Arabidopsis thaliana: one gene and its partners. The protein of the gene in region 1 interacts with the protein of each later gene in a pairwise test. Each region holds a gene or a part of one and is shown on either strand. Other genes may lie near its edges.

What was found. Proteins that work in one complex are often made in the same cells at the same time.
Region 2: the proteins of AT4G03420 (region 1) and AT3G56320 interact in a two-hybrid assay, tested with the Arabidopsis thaliana proteins (one large-scale study listed by BioGRID).
Region 3: the proteins of AT4G03420 (region 1) and BME3 interact in a two-hybrid assay, tested with the Arabidopsis thaliana proteins (one large-scale study listed by BioGRID).

What each region holds. Positions count from the first base shown.
Region 1 is NC_003075.7:1,509,159-1,515,059, reverse strand, and holds AT4G03420 (hypothetical protein (DUF789)), read right to left. Parts: upstream 3,464-5,901; 5' UTR 2,835-3,463; coding exon 2,754-2,834; intron 2,676-2,753; coding exon 2,455-2,675; intron 2,344-2,454; coding exon 2,139-2,343; intron 1,979-2,138; coding exon 1,801-1,978; intron 1,714-1,800; coding exon 1,466-1,713; 3' UTR 988-1,465; downstream 1-987.
Region 2 is NC_003074.8:20,885,394-20,892,255, forward strand, and holds AT3G56320 (PAP/OAS1 substrate-binding domain superfamily), read right to left. Parts: upstream 4,411-6,862; 5' UTR 4,103-4,410; intron 3,910-4,102; exon of another isoform or gene 3,826-3,909; 5' UTR 3,757-3,825; exon of another isoform or gene 3,561-3,756; intron 3,315-3,560; 5' UTR 3,232-3,314; coding exon 2,986-3,231; intron 2,902-2,985; coding exon 2,722-2,901; intron 2,633-2,721; coding exon 2,540-2,632; intron 2,435-2,539; coding exon 2,252-2,434; intron 2,174-2,251; coding exon 2,071-2,173; intron 1,972-2,070; coding exon 1,789-1,971; intron 1,714-1,788; coding exon 1,232-1,713; intron 1,142-1,231; coding exon 800-1,141; 3' UTR 501-799; downstream 1-500. Other genes in the region: AT3G56310 (Melibiase family protein), read left to right, coding at 1-6, 101-352; AT3G56330 (N2,N2-dimethylguanosine tRNA methyltransferase), read left to right, coding at 4,857-5,488, 5,597-5,797, 5,891-6,191, 6,280-6,342, 6,436-6,540.
Region 3 is NC_003074.8:20,293,742-20,299,327, reverse strand, and holds BME3 (Plant-specific GATA-type zinc finger transcription factor family protein), read right to left. Parts: upstream 3,199-5,586; 5' UTR 2,929-3,198; intron 2,913-2,928; exon of another isoform or gene 2,664-2,912; intron 2,400-2,663; 5' UTR 2,372-2,399; coding exon 2,144-2,371; intron 1,833-2,143; coding exon 1,092-1,832; 3' UTR 501-1,091; downstream 1-500. UniProt on the Arabidopsis thaliana protein: Transcriptional activator that specifically binds 5'-GATA-3' or 5'-GAT-3' motifs within gene promoters. May be involved in the regulation of some light-responsive genes.

The DNA.
Region 1 (5,901 bases):
AAATCCAGTCCTCAGCACATCGACAACGTGAATTCAGGTCGAGAAGAAACCCAAAAACATCACTTTCTTAGATTGTTTCTGTTTGCAAGTAATGATAATAGTAATATATTTTTGGTCTGAAATTAATGTACACTATTTATTACGCGAAAATGAAATGTGCCGACCACTTAAATAATTTGTTAGGAAATGATTCATTCCATTTAAGTAAACAAAAAAGAGTTAGAAGGTGTCTAGAAAAATCGGTGGAGGGACCAAACACTGAACACTCCATCAAGTCAATTTACAAATCTAATCTAAGGTCCACGTTCTTTGATTTTTCTCCGTCACATGTTTGACATTTTTGTCTTCAGAGGTCCCACTTTTCTTTTCCATTTTATAACAAGTCTTTTCAATTTTGTTAATCTATTTAATTCTAATTTTCTAAATTTTAAATCGATATTCAAATATACAAAAATCTTATAAAAAATTATAATTTTCAGAATAAATCAACAATTTATACCTTTTACAATATTGGTAACTAATAGCTCTTAGCTATAGCTGTAAGCTTTTTCAGAATACTGCAACAATATATAAAAAAAATTATACTACAAGAAAGCTGTGAAAAAAACTAAAAATAGAATTTTTGATAACACTTTTGTGATTAGTAACTGTCAAAACTTTATATTTTGTAACGTTTTTTACCGTTTGGTAAAGTGATTATCAATAACATCATAATATATGTTATGCAATAAGTGTATTTTTAAAATTCTTGTGTCAAGTAAAAAAAAAACACTATAGAGATCGATTTTATTATACCTCTACAAAAACAACTAATTGATTTTTCGTGTTTTGTTATATATTCTTTGTAACTTGAGGTTGAATTAGGTATTTTATGTCAATATTTATATTGAAAATTCAAAACAAAAATTACTTCAAAACGGAACAAATCATGATGTATAAATCAGAATTTATAATGTGTCACCATTCAGATTTAAAGATAGACAATTCTTTAAAACACACAAAAATACCACATTATAGTGATCCAGTGATCAATAAAACACACAAAAATCATCAGCTTTGATTTATGTATTTGGGTAAAAACAGTTACAAATATGATGAGATTGTTACACTTGCTACTCCTTTAAAGTATTACTGAGGTACAAGAACAAGACCCTCTCAATCAATGTTTATCAAGAAACAAGAAACCACTCTTTTCAACAAATCAGCACTTATAATATATGACATCTCCCATTGATGCTACTTTAAAGCTATTCTACACCCAAAACGTTGAAACCGCTGTACTTGTGTGTTAAGGAAACGCTCAGTCCTCTTCACGGCTGCCACTGCTACTCCAACCACTGGACAAACACGGTATATTGCGACCAGGGAAAAAAGTAATCTCCTTGCCACTTGAGACCAACAAGAAAAACAAAAAGAGATACAAAATCTACATTTGAACTCATCAGTATATAGCAACGGATTTGTTTCAGCCACGGTGAGCCATTCTTGAGAAGTAGTTGAAGTCATGGTGTTGGACTCTTAGCTGTTTTAGCCAAGAATCCGCAACACTTAGAAGCGAAAGAACTCGCTCTTGATCTTGACCTTGATCGTCTTCCGAGAGCCAAACATTGCCTTGCATCTTATAAGTGGCTAACCCAAAAGGAAGCAAAGTTACACCTTCTCCTTCCTTCCGGATCCTCTCCTTTTCCCCGCCATTTTCTTCTGGCTCCATATCTGAAAATCAAGACCATAACGGTTACATATTCGCGGGATATAACACATCGAAGGACTTGAATCCGAGAGGATTGAGAAGATTAGTACCTTGGAAAGAAGATGAAAGAGTGTGATAAGTGAGGAAACAAGTGGACAAATCTTTGATGGTCCTTCCCATTGGAATATGGTAAATAGGGTACCACGCTACCGCCATCCAACTTGCCGGGGAAAGATCTACGCTTCGCAACGACATTAGTCCCGGGTACCTTTGAGCCAATTCATTGATCTGAAATCAACCAAAATCATATGTCTCATTTCAAGTCTTGAATAATAATATATTCTAATCTATACATACATACTTTTTCGCCTATTGCTAATTAGGAATCAACCAAGTGACTAATCCTAGTAATCAAAGAAGCTGATCTTATGAAGCTGCATTGAGTTACCTTATCCATGAGAGGAACTCGAGCATAAGGAGCTGATCTCTCAAAGTATTGCAGATAAAGATATCCCAACCGATCATTAGGATGCAAGAGAGCGTCATGTTCAAGTCCTTCATCAGAAGCACATCTCGAAAGTTTATCACTTTCACTCTCATCACTATATGAATCACTAAACGAATCTCTGCTTTCCCCATCTTCAGAATCATCCCTAATCAAGAACAACCCAAAAAAAAGAGTCAGTCACAATAGATTCATCAAAGGATCAAACTTTAAAATCTAAACGTATCAAAGCGGCAATATAAAAAGCAATGAATGGTACCTTAAGCGGATCAAGGAAGAACGAGAGGTGAAAATCTGAATAGCAGAGAGATAGGGAACATAATATTGAACAAGAGATTCTCCATTAGAGAGACGAATTGGAACACCAGCTCCATAAGCACTCCATTCATCATAACAATCCCATAGATCACTCAATCTGAAAAACTCAACCTTTTGTCTCTCCCATGGATGCCAAATCCTATTCAAACTCCTAATCTCCGCCTGCCAGAATCCACAACCAATTTAAATATTACCATTAAGAGAAGAAAGAAGAAGAAGAAAGAAAGAATGATTCAAAACCTTGGATAGAGATTGGGGTGGCACTACAGGTGTTGTGCAATGAAGGAATCTGTCAAGGTTTGACCCTTTTCCAAACACCATGATGGGATTCTTGTAAGAGAGAAAGAGGGGTTTCTTGATTCTTTTCTTTGAAATAACCCAGAAACCAAAAGAGAAAGAGAAAGAGAGAGTTTAAGAGAGGGAGACACGCAAGCGAGTGTCTGAGATTTGACGTTAGGACAGCTGAATTTAAGGAAAACGGAAATTATGGACAAGAAATTTTTATAACTTTAAAAATATCAATTTGAAGAAGAAAAAACCGAAATCTGCTCAGTTACTTGCAGAAGAATGAAAGAAAAGTCTTCTTTTTTTTCTGTGGAGAGAGCCTATTTTACGGTAGTTTTGTTTGTTTTTTATGATCGGAAAACCAGAAACGAGAAAATTCCAAAACAGAGGAGAAAAATGCAGACTTGTCAAGAAAATAAAAAAAAACAGAGTAATTTTTGGTTCTGTTACAATTTTGCCGGAAAAAGGAAAGACCAGTGGATATATATTGAGAGACGAAACAGAGGTGGAGAGGTTATATATATAAAGGTGAGAGAATCGATTTGCTTTCTCTAGAAAATATTCTTTCTTTTACTTGATCAAAATCCTCTGTTTTTGGGTTTTTTCTTTTCTTTAAATTTAGACGATAAAATATAGAAAAGTTGAGATTAAAATTGAATTAAAAAGGATAAAGACAGATTTGAGGAAGAGAAGGTTCTGAATTCTGGATATTAATAAGAAAAAGTACAACAAACACCTAATCAATCAAAAATTTATCTCAAAGTTTGACGATTTTCCTCGTCCATAGCTTATGATCCTCACGTGGTTTGGTTTTGTTATATTTAATCTCTTTCGTCGACTCTATTTTTAAAGTATTCGATTAGAAAAATTCATTCTAGAAAAAAAACTAGTCGATAATACTTAAGAGTTAAAGAACTTTCTACATGTACAATGTTGTCTAAAAATACTACATGAGCATAAGATTGTGATTAGTGTGGTAGTTTTGCTGTGAGAATTGTTAATGCCAGTGTATAAGAACATTAATCGAGCATTTTTATTGTTTTTTATCGTGGAAATTTTCAGTACATATTACGGAAAATGTTATTTGTTCATATGACGTATTTGAAAAGTTGTATATAATTAGGCTGCCTAACTTATTATCATTACTAGTTTCAGTACTGTGTATTTTGATTGGCTATCATGATACAATGTGGTACGTTCGTAGGAAGAGAAATAAAATGTTAGTCCTAGAAAATATTGTTATTGATGGTTACTGCTTAGTACTTACTATTATTGAGTCTATAGTATACTATACAAATTTTTTATAATTAATATGAAAAAAACTTAGTTCTGAAAGTTGTTATTATTTAAATTATTTTATTTTTCTTTCATGTGATATATATAGAAATATATATTATAAGTGCACCTTAACATACAAAAAAGAAGATTATTCGTTCAACTGGTTGATAAAATCAATCGTAGGTAAATATTTATTTCGAAAATAATATTTAAATGAAGTCAAATATAGAAATAAAAATATATTATTTTTCTTTCAATTTCAGCAAAATTAGGTTTTGCCAATTTGAGGTAACTTGATGTTTAGGGTATTTAAAACTAGGTATCACAAAAAAAACTGAAGTTACGCTCTATTTGGCCGTTATTGCTCGCATATTTCATATTTTATTAGATACAATGATCGTATACAGTACTTACTTTTCCTAATTTATGATATAAGAGTATATATAGACTTGAATTACTATTTACTAACACAAGAAGTTATAATAAATCGAAATAGTCATTGGACGGACAATAAAAATCAAACGAATCAACAGTTTTGGACGTAATATTGGGGAAAAATGGTTGTGACGTGTGATTTTGTAACTAATTATGCAAATCAATAATCTCTAATAAATATCACGTTATTGAACGGTACGTCTACTAATTGTAACATCAGTAGTCACAAGCAAATCACGTGAAAAATGTCAATTACGTGGAAGCATACCAACTTTTCTGAATTTTGTGGTTTTGGCCTTTGCGCCATGTGGTAGTTTTCGTGACACGTGCCGAATTAACTTAATTTCTATTTACCTAATCTATTGATATTTATCAAACCGAATTTGTAAATTGAGAAAACCGGTATGTTGGTAAGGGTAAATGACCGGTTTATCTGACGGCGGGATGCTAGATGGGTGTGATGACTAAGCGATCATCGTGATTTGGGGAACTGAAAAAGAAGTTGATGAGAGTGACGTTGTACGACCGATGGCTGAATCTAAAATGTTGGATTTTTACCAAGTGACGTTATTTGTTATCCACCACATTCCACAGCTACAAAAAGATTTGGATCCTATCGTATTGAGAAAAGAGTTTGGGCCTAAATCCAGTATCTTGGATCTTTTATATGTTTGAGCCCAAATAGGTCCGACGATTTCTGTAAAACCCAATGAGACTCACAAGGCCTCCTCTTAGGACAACTTTGATTGATCTACGTATGTAGATGGAATTTCGGATTTAGAATTAGTAACTGATGATGTAAAAACAAGAACACGAGTACACACAATATTTAACATATAATATGCAGCTCATTTACATTGCTTTGCTAAATTTGGATTACACTGACATTGAATATTTGTTGGTCATAATACTTCTTATTAGGCATGCAGACATAACACACATAAGTGATCAAACTCAAATCTAAAATTTAGGCCGGTTTATCCCTGAAGTTGAGATAATCATTGTTGGCAAAATTAATCATTAGACTATTTATCTACAATGGTTACTCATTTACAACACCCACTTTTTCACTTTTAACACTCCACATCATCTTTTCTTTCTACCACATCATTATTCAACACCTACATAATTTTTAACATTACAACAGTTTTGTTTAATAAAATTACAATATCTTACTCCACCATTTTTATTTTATATTTTAACCTATTTTTTTTTTTGGGTCTAAAAATGGTTTTTTATCTTGTATCTAAATCAAATGAAAGTAGTCAGAATGAAAAATTATAAATTTTCATATAAATTTTTATATATTTATGTATAAATATTATGAAATAATTGAAGTTATATAATTAAGACGAAGCAAAAAGAAAAGAAATTAAAGCAACAAATAAAA
Region 2 (6,862 bases), on another chromosome or scaffold:
CAGCAGGTATGAATTGGGAGTCACAGAATTATCAAACTCATAGAGAAAGCAGAAAAAACAAACTCAAGGACTCAAATTGGTGATAACTGTTTCATTGCAGGTGTGGTCAGGACCTTTATCTGGTGACCGTATGGTAGTTGCTCTCTGGAACCGTTGCTCTGAGCCAGCAACTATTACAGCATCATGGGATATGATCGGTCTTGAATCTACCATTAGCGTTTCAGTAAGAGATTTGTGGCAGCACAAAGATGTAACAGAGAATACTTCTGGCTCCTTTGAAGCTCAAGTTGACGCACACGACTGTCATATGTACGTTCTCACTCCCCAGACAGTATCACACTCTGATGTATAGTTCTTTATTGTGAGGCATTCAAATCCCAAAGAACAGAGATTGCCTTTGTGTTTCTGTATACTCGTGTATCTTGTAAAACGTGAAACCTGTTGTTACCCGGACAACTTTAAATGTTTGTCACTCTCTAAACAAATTGCCAGAAGTGACAAGAAGTAAAACTGAATCTCATATAAAAATTTAGATAAAAAGTCTGAAGGATCTTGATTCCAAAGAAAAGACAAATGCCAAATCAACTCTTAATCTATACCACTTTTGTATATTCTGACCTACCAACAATGAAGAAGAGATCTCTAATGAAACATTGGTCAAAACAAGTTCCTGATGGATCTTTTGAATCCTATATAGAGTTTTGAATACTAAATAGAGTTTGTCCATGTGGTTAAGAGAACCTAGTAATCCTGAAGGTGTCAAGATAACAACCAAAGCTTCGGTCACAGTCACTAAAAGTCAAGAGCCGTTCATGGTTTGGGAGGATCTGATACTCTCTTCTTTGCCATTTTCCAATACCAATGTGCTTGAAGTTCTAGGTTCTACTAGGTTTTCTGGTGGTGGAAATTGGCAATTGTCATCAAGCTCCAAATTCGCAGATCTTTGAGATTTCAGCACACTCTCTGGTCTCACACATTCTTCTCCTTTGTTACTGGTACAAGAAGTAGACACTTCACCGGAAAGATTGCAGCAACTACTGGCTCCATCATTGTCTATTGCCTCAGAGGAAGCTTCTAAATGATTCGTTGATGAGGTTCCAGTACCTGATTCTCTGAACCTGTCAGAGTATACCTGTTGACTCTGCAACAACCATTGAGAAGCAATTCAGAAGCTTGCAGCAATAAGTTAATTTTTAAGCCAAAATGTCCGTCAAAGGGGTTAATCGCATACCATGTCAGGAATATAAGTGCCGGTTCCTCTCGTCTTTCTCATGTTTTGACAGCCATTAGGTAAAGAATGCAAAGGAAAAGGCTGCATAGAGGTTGATACATTGAGACTTCTAAGATGGAACTCGTTCTTTCGGTAAGTCACAAGGTGACGAACAATATCCCAACCACTCAGGTGAGAACTAACCGGGATATAGCCATGCTGAAATGTTCCAGGTAAGCTATGCCCATGATACATTTGCCCATACACAAGTCTTCCAAAGGAACTATCGAAATCTCCACTAAGTTCAGATAATTCTGATCTTCCAGTACCGAAAGCAGTAACGGGATCATTCACATCTTGCCTTTGTCCCTTACCATTTCTCTCCAAAGAGTTACGAAAGAACTTCTCCAATCTCCATCCCATGGTGTCACCAGGTAGTGAAAGAACATCTCTTAGCTTTCGAGCTCCAAGTGTAAAAGCATGTCTTATTCGTTGGACATTTCCTAACAAAATGTTTTTAAAATAATTAATATTTGACAACTGCTATATTGGTTGTATAACTTTTATCAATAGAGTACCTTGTGTAACACTTTTGCCGAGGTTGTTGCTGTATTTTAGAGGATCAACTATGTTGAGATGTTTGATAGGAAACTCAAGACCATTTGAGTCAACAGCTTTAGTTGGAGCAGAATATAACTCTACACAGTTTCTTAAAAACTTCTCGTCAAGTAATAACTCATGCCCATTTTCTGGAGATGCTGCTGGAAAGATAGAAAGAGAAAGAACCAAATTAAAACGTCAAATAGCGCCAAGAAAATGCCACGAAGAGAAGTATCTGTGATTTTTGGCATCATCCTTACCTGTAAGTTCTGGAAGGGACGATATTGGCACAGGACCATTGACACTGATACAGTAGTTGTTCCAATCAAATGAACCATAGTAATCCAAGAACTTATACAGAACCTGTTGAAAGACAATGCTATATTCTCATCTTTTGCATATATGTAGAGGATGCTGAAGGTTCAGAAAAAGAGTGATTACCGCTAAAGGGCCAGATAAAGATGAATGAAACAGGTTGATGATGTACAAAACTAGTACTGCCAATGCATATGTTGAGATCAATCCAGTGTTAGCACCAAGAATTCGACTCTCGTAATAGCACCAAGCTTTGACAAGGATGATGCTACGCTTGAAAAGATGATCTCTCCCAAAGAGTTGGTCAACCTGAGAATACATAAAACCAGAGTTTAACCAACAACTAAGAATCAAAGCTAGGCAATAATCTGTTTAGTAAACCTCTGGAGCCTGATTTTGAATAGCTGATAGTACCTGCTCCAGAAAACATAAAGCACAGAGACCTGCCGTTTGATTAAAAGAGATATCAACAGCAATGTTCCTGATATTGCATTTTATGACCTTGACCTATCATATATCAGCAAACTTTCTTAAGGAAAATTTGGGCAACCAAGAAAATACAAAAACGAAACCAAAAAGTAAATAAACAAAGAGACCTGTGCAGGGATAAACTGAACATCTGTTGCATGGAATTCAGATTCTCTTTCTTCATTCTGAAGCCTACTGCACAATTGTCCATAAAAATCGTCATCCATATTTTGCTTAGTTAGGACAGTCAGATCGATATCCCCGTCCGGGAGATAGGTTTTTAGTGGCACTGAACCAAATGAAAAGACCTGTAGATAAACAAGTTCCCATAGAAAGTTAACAAAACAGCATAAATCTTTAACATGTCAGCAAAGAGAAGCGGAGTTTCTAACCTCAATTCCCTCATGACTCATGATAAGAGTTCGTACATAATCAATGATCTCATTCCTACTTCTGTCTGAAACAAGGGCAGGTTGGATAGTGCAAAGTATCTCATGAGCTCTCTCCTCTGCAATCATCCAAGAATCTGCATCTATCGGCAATGAATCTCCTTTAGGTAGTGCCGTTGATAGTGACAATGAGGATGATGAAGAAGACGAAGATGATGAAACTGACAATCTTTCTTGAATTTCACCCATGTGCGCATAACTTCAAACTAACATCAGAGTGATAACACAGGAATCCTCAACAACTCAATGAGCCCCTTATATAATTATGATATCTACAAACAACAGAACAAACAGAATTACAAAATATTTCAAATTGGCCTTTTTGTCATCACATTAGACAGAGAAAAAGAAAAAAATGAAGTCAAGGTAAAAGTTGATTGTCTAATAACTAGAGCTCCCAAATTTGATTAAGAACAATCGAGGCTAATCCAGAGAGTGAGTGAGATTACATCCTAAGCAAGAGACATAAAAAAATGAAACAGAGCATGCCAATAGTGAATTCAGTGTTAGGTAGGTACCCTAATGTTTAGCTTCTCAGAGCAAAATCGAATATTTATAAAGGAAAACAAAACAAAACAGCTAAACTATCCTGCGTGAGTGATGATTATACCTTAGGAAAAAATGACTATTAGCTCAGAAGTCTCAGCTCTGTCTCTTCCAAAATCATTTTTTTTTGTTGACAAAATTGAGAGGTTTAAGTAGTGAAAGGCGTACCTGCGGTTTTAGACCAGTTGTCCAGAGATTCTTTGGGCTAATCTTTGAATATTCAAGAAGCTTTAATTCCTGCTAACAAACAAACAAAAAAAATCAAAACTTGGAACAGGGTTTAAGATTTGTAACGAATCGACATTTTCACACGAAAAAAAATATGACATTTTGGTTTTCATCTTTAAGCTTCACAAGGACCACGAAGATGGATTAAGACAAAAGAGAAAACCCCAAAAATCAAAAAACGAGATTCACACGAAACATCATTTTGCTTTCTCCGATAACGAGGATTAAGAGGCAAATTAAGCTTGTATTCATTGGATTCCTAAAGATTAAGCAAAGATTATCTCACCTCGAAACAAAATTTCCAGCTTTAGTTTTTTTTGGATCTTATGGATAATAAACGTTACACCAAAAACTTTTTTGAAACACAAAGGGGAAAAGAAATAAAAACCCAGATAAAAACAGATATGAGTCAGTAAAATGAAACGGAAGGGATTGTTTACGAATACCGATTTGTATTCATTGATCAGGAGAAGAGAAACCGATACTATAAACTTTTTTTTAATTGAGGGGAGAAAGAGAATTATCACCAAGACAAAAAATTAAGGGATAATATAAGCAAAAATAAAATAAAAAATTATGGAAGGTTCATAATAGTGGAGACTCTAAAACAATCTGCCATTTTTGTATCAATGAGAAAAAAATTAACTTCACCTGCTCCTCTCAAATAATTTTCAACCCAAGAAAAAAAATAGATTTTCTTCATTCTTGTTGGAGACTCTTAGTCTCTATGATCTTCATGGTCAATGTTTTTGAATGATTCAACAAAAACCCTAATTTCTCCAAATTCCAAAACCCAGAATTCCAGAAACAGTAGAAACTCAATTCCATGAAAGGGAAAAAAGTGTATCGTATCTTTAGGTGGACTCGAGTATAGACGATTACACAAGTGGGACCCAACTAATCATAAGATTGACGACGTGGCCTACTAATACGAGGTTTTTATCTCTTCCGTACACGTGGCATAATATCGGACGGACTAATTTAGATAGACGATTAAAAAAAAAAATCAAGCAAAACAATCAGATTTTTTTTTTCCCGCTATGTTGTTGACTCTCTCTCCTAAAACCCTATCTTCTTCTTCCTTCTTCACTGTGCACAAATCGCAAAACCCTAAATGTAAATCTCCAGATTCATGTCGATTCAAGAGCTTGAAATGTAGTTTTGATCGAATTTTAGTGAAATCCGAGGTTCAAATTGAGAGGAATCTCGAATTTGAAACGGGAGAGACATTTTTCCGCCATGAAAGCGCTAGAGGACGAGACCTCGGTGTTTTGTCAGCGACGCTATACAAGAGATCTAATGGAAGCTTACGGGTACTCGACGCAATGTGCGGATGTGGAATTAGGTCGCTTCGTTATCTTGTGGAAGCTGAAGCTGATTTCGTGATGGCGAACGACGCAAATGATGATAATCGGAGAGTGATTACGGATAATTTGAGTAAAGTAGAGAGAGGTACTGGAGATGAGAGGAGATGGGTTGTGACTCATATGTTGGCTAATAAAGCGATGATTGAGAGATATATGGTTGCGGATTTCTTCGATATGATTGATATTGATTCGTTTGGAAGTGATTCTTCGTTTTTGAGAGATGCGTTTAATGCATTGAGATTGGGTGGTTTGCTTTACTTGACGTCGACTGATGGTTACTCTTCTGGTGGTCACAGACCTTATAAGTGAGTGAAAGCAATACCATTAGTCTTTGTGGTATTTTAGGAATCATGATATGATTTAGGGACTAGGAGATTGAAAGTTGAAAAATTTCTTGGTTTGTTTTGGTGTAGTTCTTTAGCAGCTTATGGAGCATTTATTCGACCAATGCCGTTTGGGAATGAGATTGGGCTGCGGATGCTTATAGGTGGAGCAGTGAGAGAAGCTGCTCTGCTTGGTTATCATGTTACGCCTCTTTTCTCGTACTATTCTTATCACGGACCTGTGTTTAGAGTCATGCTGAGGGTTCACCGTGGGAAGCTACATGAGGACAGGTTGTTTCTACATTTAGAATTTGACTCGAAAGGAATTGAGTTTTGGTTATGTTGCGTTTCTAATTGGAGTTGTTTTGTGTCTTTTAACTGTAGGAACTATGGTTTTGTCACGCACTGTAATCTATGTGGCCATTCTCATACATTGAGATTCGATGAACTTGGTTTGATGGGATGTCCCTGCAGTGATACAAAGGCTTCTTCTTCACTGGTTGTGTCAGGACCAATGTGGCTCGGACCGCTTCATGATGCATCCTATGTTACGGAAATGCTGGAATTGGCAAAGGAATGGGGATGGGTCAGTGAAGGCACTGGCATGGATCTGGACAAGCTTCTCAGTATAATGATTGAAGAAAGTGATCCCAGACTACCACCTGGATACACAAAAATGGATGAGGTCCTCTAAAACCATGATTTTAATTTCATTGATAAGATAGACGCATTTCATTCACATTACATGATAAAAGATTTGTTTTCGTGATTAGATGGCGAGCCGTGCGAAGATGAACTCACCTCCGTTGAAGAAGATGATGAGTGCACTAGTTAAGGTAAATAGTAGTTAGATTCTCACAGCTTTGATCTCTGAAGAAACTGATCTGAAGGTACAAAGTTAAAAAGCTCTGCTCCTTGGATTTTTGCAGGAGGGTTACGCTGCTAGCAGATCTCACATTATTCCCAATGCTCTTAAAACAGATTGTCCCATGTCCCATTTTGTTAGGATTGCCAAGGAAAATTTGCATAGTTAACTTTTTGTTATAATCAAGTTTAGAGATTTTTTTAAGCCTCTGATTATACTTTACAAAGCAATCATACCCAACACTCGACTATATTATTTGTTGCTTTATGCTAAGTAGGGAGATACAAGTACTTAGCATCGCTTAAGAACGAGCGAAGCTTCGGTCATTAAATATTTCTCTGAAAAGAAGGTATGAAGTTGCAAAAATCAAAAAAGAGGAAAAATCTTGGTCAAATCAACTGGTAAAATGGTCTGAAACGTTTAAAGCTCCAATATGGCGAAATCATCTTTAACAAAATGTAGAAAACATCTTCAAAAATTTCAGACAAAAG
Region 3 (5,586 bases), on another chromosome or scaffold:
AAAGAAAGAAAAAATTGTTCGGTGAAATCATCAAAATCGTGAATGAAGTAAGATATGTTGTCCAATCGAGTTGGTTATTAGTGCATCGACGAATACGAAAATATCATTGTTTTATCTGACGACTCTTAAGTCCTCTTTATGGTTTGAAAATAACAACATGGCTACATGAGGACGAAAGTTAAATACTAAAATCATTCGTTCATATTGTTTTATCATTGTTCAGCAAATTTAATATGCTGAAAAAATTAGTTTCAATAATTATGAAAGAAAAAGAAAATGAGTGAGTTTTGAAAGAAAGGTAGTTAAATTAAGAAACACTCTTACTTTAAATTGGCATCATAGATGGGTGGATTTACATAAAAGCTAGTTTGTGAAGTCCTTGTTAGAAAAAGATATAGTGGTTGTTACTCTATCTCTCATCTCCATTTAATTTTACATTATTGCTTGTATCATAAAACACTGATTTAAACTCGCCACTAACTCTAACTTAACCATAAAAACTTTCATAAACTAGAAACCTTTTTAATCTATTTTAGACTTGAATCAGCCAGTAATATTACTATGTCATGTTAGACATGTATTTAGCTTGTCGGCAAAACAAAAACAAAAATGTAATTAGCAATGTCTAGTTTCAATGGTAAGAAAACCATTTAATAATTAACAATTTATAACATTGGATTTTAACAAAAACAAAAAAAAAGAATCCTTTAGCTAAACAAATCAACTACAAAAAAAAAAAGAAAAAAAAAGAGAATCCTCACAATAAAAATACAAAGAATTGAAAGAACAAAAGAAGAAGAGGAAGATTTAATGTAATACTCAACACCTAATGATTCTCTAATGTCTTCAAAATCTTCTGCTCTTCCTCAACTTACTTTTCCTCTGTTTCAAGAGTTTTTTGCCCATTCACACTACAAATACAAAATAATACAAACACAATCAATTCTCATCTAACTTTTAATCCCTCCAATTGATTGCTCTCTTCCTTCATCTCTTCTAAAGCTAAAAACTTTTCTTCTCACTGACTCTTTCCTACTCCTGGCATATCTAATCACTTCAACGCATGGAAATCGAATCATCTTCTCTATGTTTTAGTCTACGCCAATGTAGGCATTGTTCGGAATCAGCCCTTGCAGATCATTCTCTTCGGTTATGTAGCTACCATCACTGCATCTCTTGTTTCTCATTTCAGCCACTTTCTTGTGTGAGTTTGAGTGAAGAGCTGGAGTAAATGTTGGACTAGCAGCTGGACGGTACTCCGGGAAAAGCCTCCCTGATTTGTAACGTACACCGCACGCATTGCAAAGTGTCTTTGGACCCATTGGACCAAGCCTCCACTGTGGAGTCTTGGTGACCTCACAGTGCATACATTTCCTAAGCGGATATTGCTCTGAAGAATACGAATCGACGTTGTTTCCATTGACTTCAAGATCAATCCCGGACGAAGAAGAGGAAGAAGTAATCTTGGCCTTCTTCTTCTTCTTCTTGTTGATCATCTTGTTGTGATCAGAGAGAAACTGTTTCGGTATTCTAATGATGAGGCGCGAGTCACCACCGCACACATTGTCTTTGACTCTATCTTTATCCTGGACAGGTGGACGAGGGCGTTTTGTGCGTGGACGACCGTGCTTTCCAGGGAGAACAAGGGAGGTTGTGTTGGTGGTTTGAGACGAGGAGGAGCTGCTCTCGAGAACCGACACTGGACTTGAGCTCCTGAATTGGCTATGAGAAGATGATGAATCAGTGTTTGTCGAAAACGAATCTTCCTTCTTCTCAACCAATGTTTCCTCTACAAAGCTTGGAGGTCTTTCCACCTTAACAATGTCCTCAAACTGCAATTTCACCCCAATCAAAGAAACATTGTTAGATAGGGAAACAATTAAGCGCCAAAAAAAAAAGACTTCATTTAACTATAAAAACAGAAACTTTGTGATATGGTAACAAAGGCAAAAACAGAACAAAGCAGAGTGCGTAAGTTAGCATAAAACTAACCAAACAATGTAAGACAAATAATGAGCGGGAAAAAAACAAACTTGACTTAACTAAAAGCCACCCATAATGACAAAATTTCATTTATTATTACTCACGAAACTTGTGGTTTAATGTTTGAAATCATACGTTACGAAGAGGGCGTAGAACTAACCGGAACATAGAGCTCAGGTGATGAATCAGAGTTGGTGTTGGAAGAGAAGAGAGGATCAGAAGCGGCAGGCCACGTGTCGTGATGAGTGGTCCAGATGGTAGGGAAAGAGTCGGAGTCACCTATGCCGAAACCGACATCGATATCTCCACCGGGAAAGTCCATGAGATCATCCATGTTGTCAAAGAAGTTGCCACAATCAAGATCCTCGGGGAAGCTTGTTCCAATCATGTTTTACAATTATTGCAAGTCTCTCTAGCTGGAATAAATAATGAGAGATGGGGTTAATGATATTATAGAGGAAAATGACAAGAGTTTGAACAGAGGAAGTTTCTGAATAAGTTTTGAAAATTTTGAACCAAATTTTGGAACCACCTTAAAAATCAAAATTTTGAAAAATAAACATTCTTTGGCCCACCTTTTTTGATTTTTTTTTTTTTTTTTGATAAGTAAATAAAGAGGACCATTCTATGTACAAATTCAAATCACAGTAGACTATAAGGTTATAAAAGTCAAAAGTCACCGTTAATTAAGCATTCTTGATTTTATCTATCAATCTTCTAGAATTCTTGTGTGAAAACCAAGAAGAAAACACAAATTTTTCAGTTACAAAAAAAAAAAGAGTGTTAAAACAAAACTGAATTCAGAACAATTGGTGTGAAATAAATGCCTCCACCGACACTTCTTGATTTATGCAAAAACTCATCAAGATTCCAAAAAAAAACATTACAATTTCAAGAATTTCCAAAGAAAACCAAAAATGAAGAAGGAGGAGGAGGAAATCAAACCTCTGTTGTTCTTAGTAGTGGTGTGCAGATCGTATGAGAGAGAAAAGGAATCAAATATGAGAATATAAGAAGAAGAGAGAGATTGCTTAGAAAGGCAAAAAAAAAAGGAGTAAGGAGTGGGGAGAAGTGAAGAGTGATTGATTGGGAAAAAAAATGAGTAATGGAGAGCAATGGGGGTGATGCTTCTCTCTTATTATTATAAAGAGTTAGGTGTGAGAAACACTTCTTTTGCTAGCTGTATTTTACCATTCCTTACCCTGTCTTCATGTGGAAGTCTCTTTCCTTCTCTCTCTCTCTAAAATATTTTAAAAAAAATCGTAATCTCACCTCCCTCATGTGGGTTCCATATCTCATTGAGACTTTACCAAAGATGATTTATTCACAAACCTTGCTTAGCTGTATAAAAAGTTGTTTTTGTTTTTATAAATCAATGGTTTAAATTAAAGTTACATCAATATTTTTATGTTTTCAACAAAGCTTATTTATGTAAAGGAAGATAATAAAAAAAAAACCCATTAAATTGTCATTTAAGTAAAGAGTTAACGTAATTAGAAGAGTAAATACGGAATTTATTAGTTTTAGGTAAGAAATTCTAGAATTGTTTAACGCGTATAATTCTAGTCATACATGGTTTTGCTCCTACCGTATATGGGATAAGAAAAGTCAATGAGATAATGGGAAGGTGAAATGGCACGAAGGAAAATATACGACGTTTACGCGTACATGTAATTCCAATATTTTATTGATCATCTAATTTTTGTTATTTTGCTCTTTTTTTTTGCTAGTTTTCTTCCCATTGTTTTTGGCTTAAGCTCGCTCTTTAGACTACGTGTTGCAAAGTAAAAGAATAGACTTTTTCCAAATACATGTTACCATTTTTTTTTGTTAAACTACATAAAAGTCTATTACTCATAGGCTTAAGGAAACATGACTCCAGTCTGTATCTTCTTTTGTTTTACTACTATACACACAGAGAAAGAAAAGCTTCTATGTTTTTTTTAAAGTGATAGATACTAGCTTTTTTTTTTTTTAATAAATACTAGACTTCACGATTACAATAATATAGTTTCTTATAGGTGTAAAATGTAGTGTTTCTTGAACATCTAACATTACTTCATTTGTTGTATAATTACAATCCATGAAGAGCAAAATATTCCTTGTGAGTTAACCAAATAAAAAGTTCTTCATGAGTTTTTCCCCTAGGACGATGTTTTCTTGCTAAGTTGCAAAGACAAATATATATTTTATATATAAATTCTGGCCTCAAAAAAATTATAATTATATTTAACTTTAAGCAACAATTTTTTTTTTTTTTTTAATTTAACTTAGTTTTCATTAGTTAGCTAAAAAGTCAGGCAATATATAGATGAACTAAAGTAAACCATATAGTGAAGGGTTGATCATTTTCTTGTTACGATATCTTGATAATTAAGAAAGTGTAAACTGATCTAATCATTTTTTTTTTCTGTTAGATATAATCATAAGAATTTGTTTCTAAGTTTCTAGTCTTACTGAACAATGATGATACAACAAATCATAAAAATAAATGGATAAATGAACTTTGATTAGGTTACCAAAATATATATATATATATATATATAATAGTTTGTGGAGAACACTGTGCACAGTCACTAAAAATCGAAGACACAATGAATTCAAATCCAAAGAACTCCACATTCTTAGACATATCCAATGAGTTTTCCTTTGAGATTTTATCTTCTATATCACCATTTTCTTAAGCTAACTTCAACCATACTCTTAGCTTCCTTACTTCAAGTACACTCTTTTCTAAAGAAATAAAAAAAAAAAAAAAAACGATGTGATCGACCTATTTAATTTAATGCTGATTTTCTAAGGCTCTACTTTTTCACTTTCTTTCTTTTATTTTTTCTCCCTTTTTTAGTATATATTTTCAGTAACTAACTTGGACTTCACTCCATACACGATCACTTTCTTCTGAAAGAGTTCTCCCCCATTACTCTCCAAAGTCCAAATGACAAAAAAAACTATATATGTAGGTGTTATTTTCTTTTAATTTATAACAAATAAACATATAAAGTCATGTACTATATGTGTATATATACATATATACATTACATCTCGTCACTATCATGTATTATAGCAAAATAATGTATTAAGCTTTTTTATTTAATGTCATGCTTATTATGCTATGCAATTTTTTTAACCTCGGCCTATATATGGTTGGGGCCAAAAATGTTCGTATAACTTCCGGCATAAAATGAAAAGGCGTTCTCTTATGTGTGTTGTTCGATCATTAATCTTAAATTGATTAAGACATCTCAACAAATATTGATTAAAACGAGTACATTTTTGTAGGAAACCTTAGTTTCTCTAAACAAGTAAATTTTAGGTCCAATAAAAATAACTCAAGCGCATGTATGACATTGATCTAAATTGTTTACGAAACGCTATGTATGAGTTTGGTAAGACTTCTGCTTTAACCCGGAATATCTTAAATCATATAAAAATAGAAAATATTAAATCCTAATTTATTGAAGAACTAAAACCTTAACTTGATATTAGCATAATTCTACTCTTTGTATTAGAAAAAGGCTAAACTCCTCAAAAGATTTCTTTCCATGATCTCAACAAGTACGCTAAATAAAGTTGGTCCATATCACACACATATACAAATAT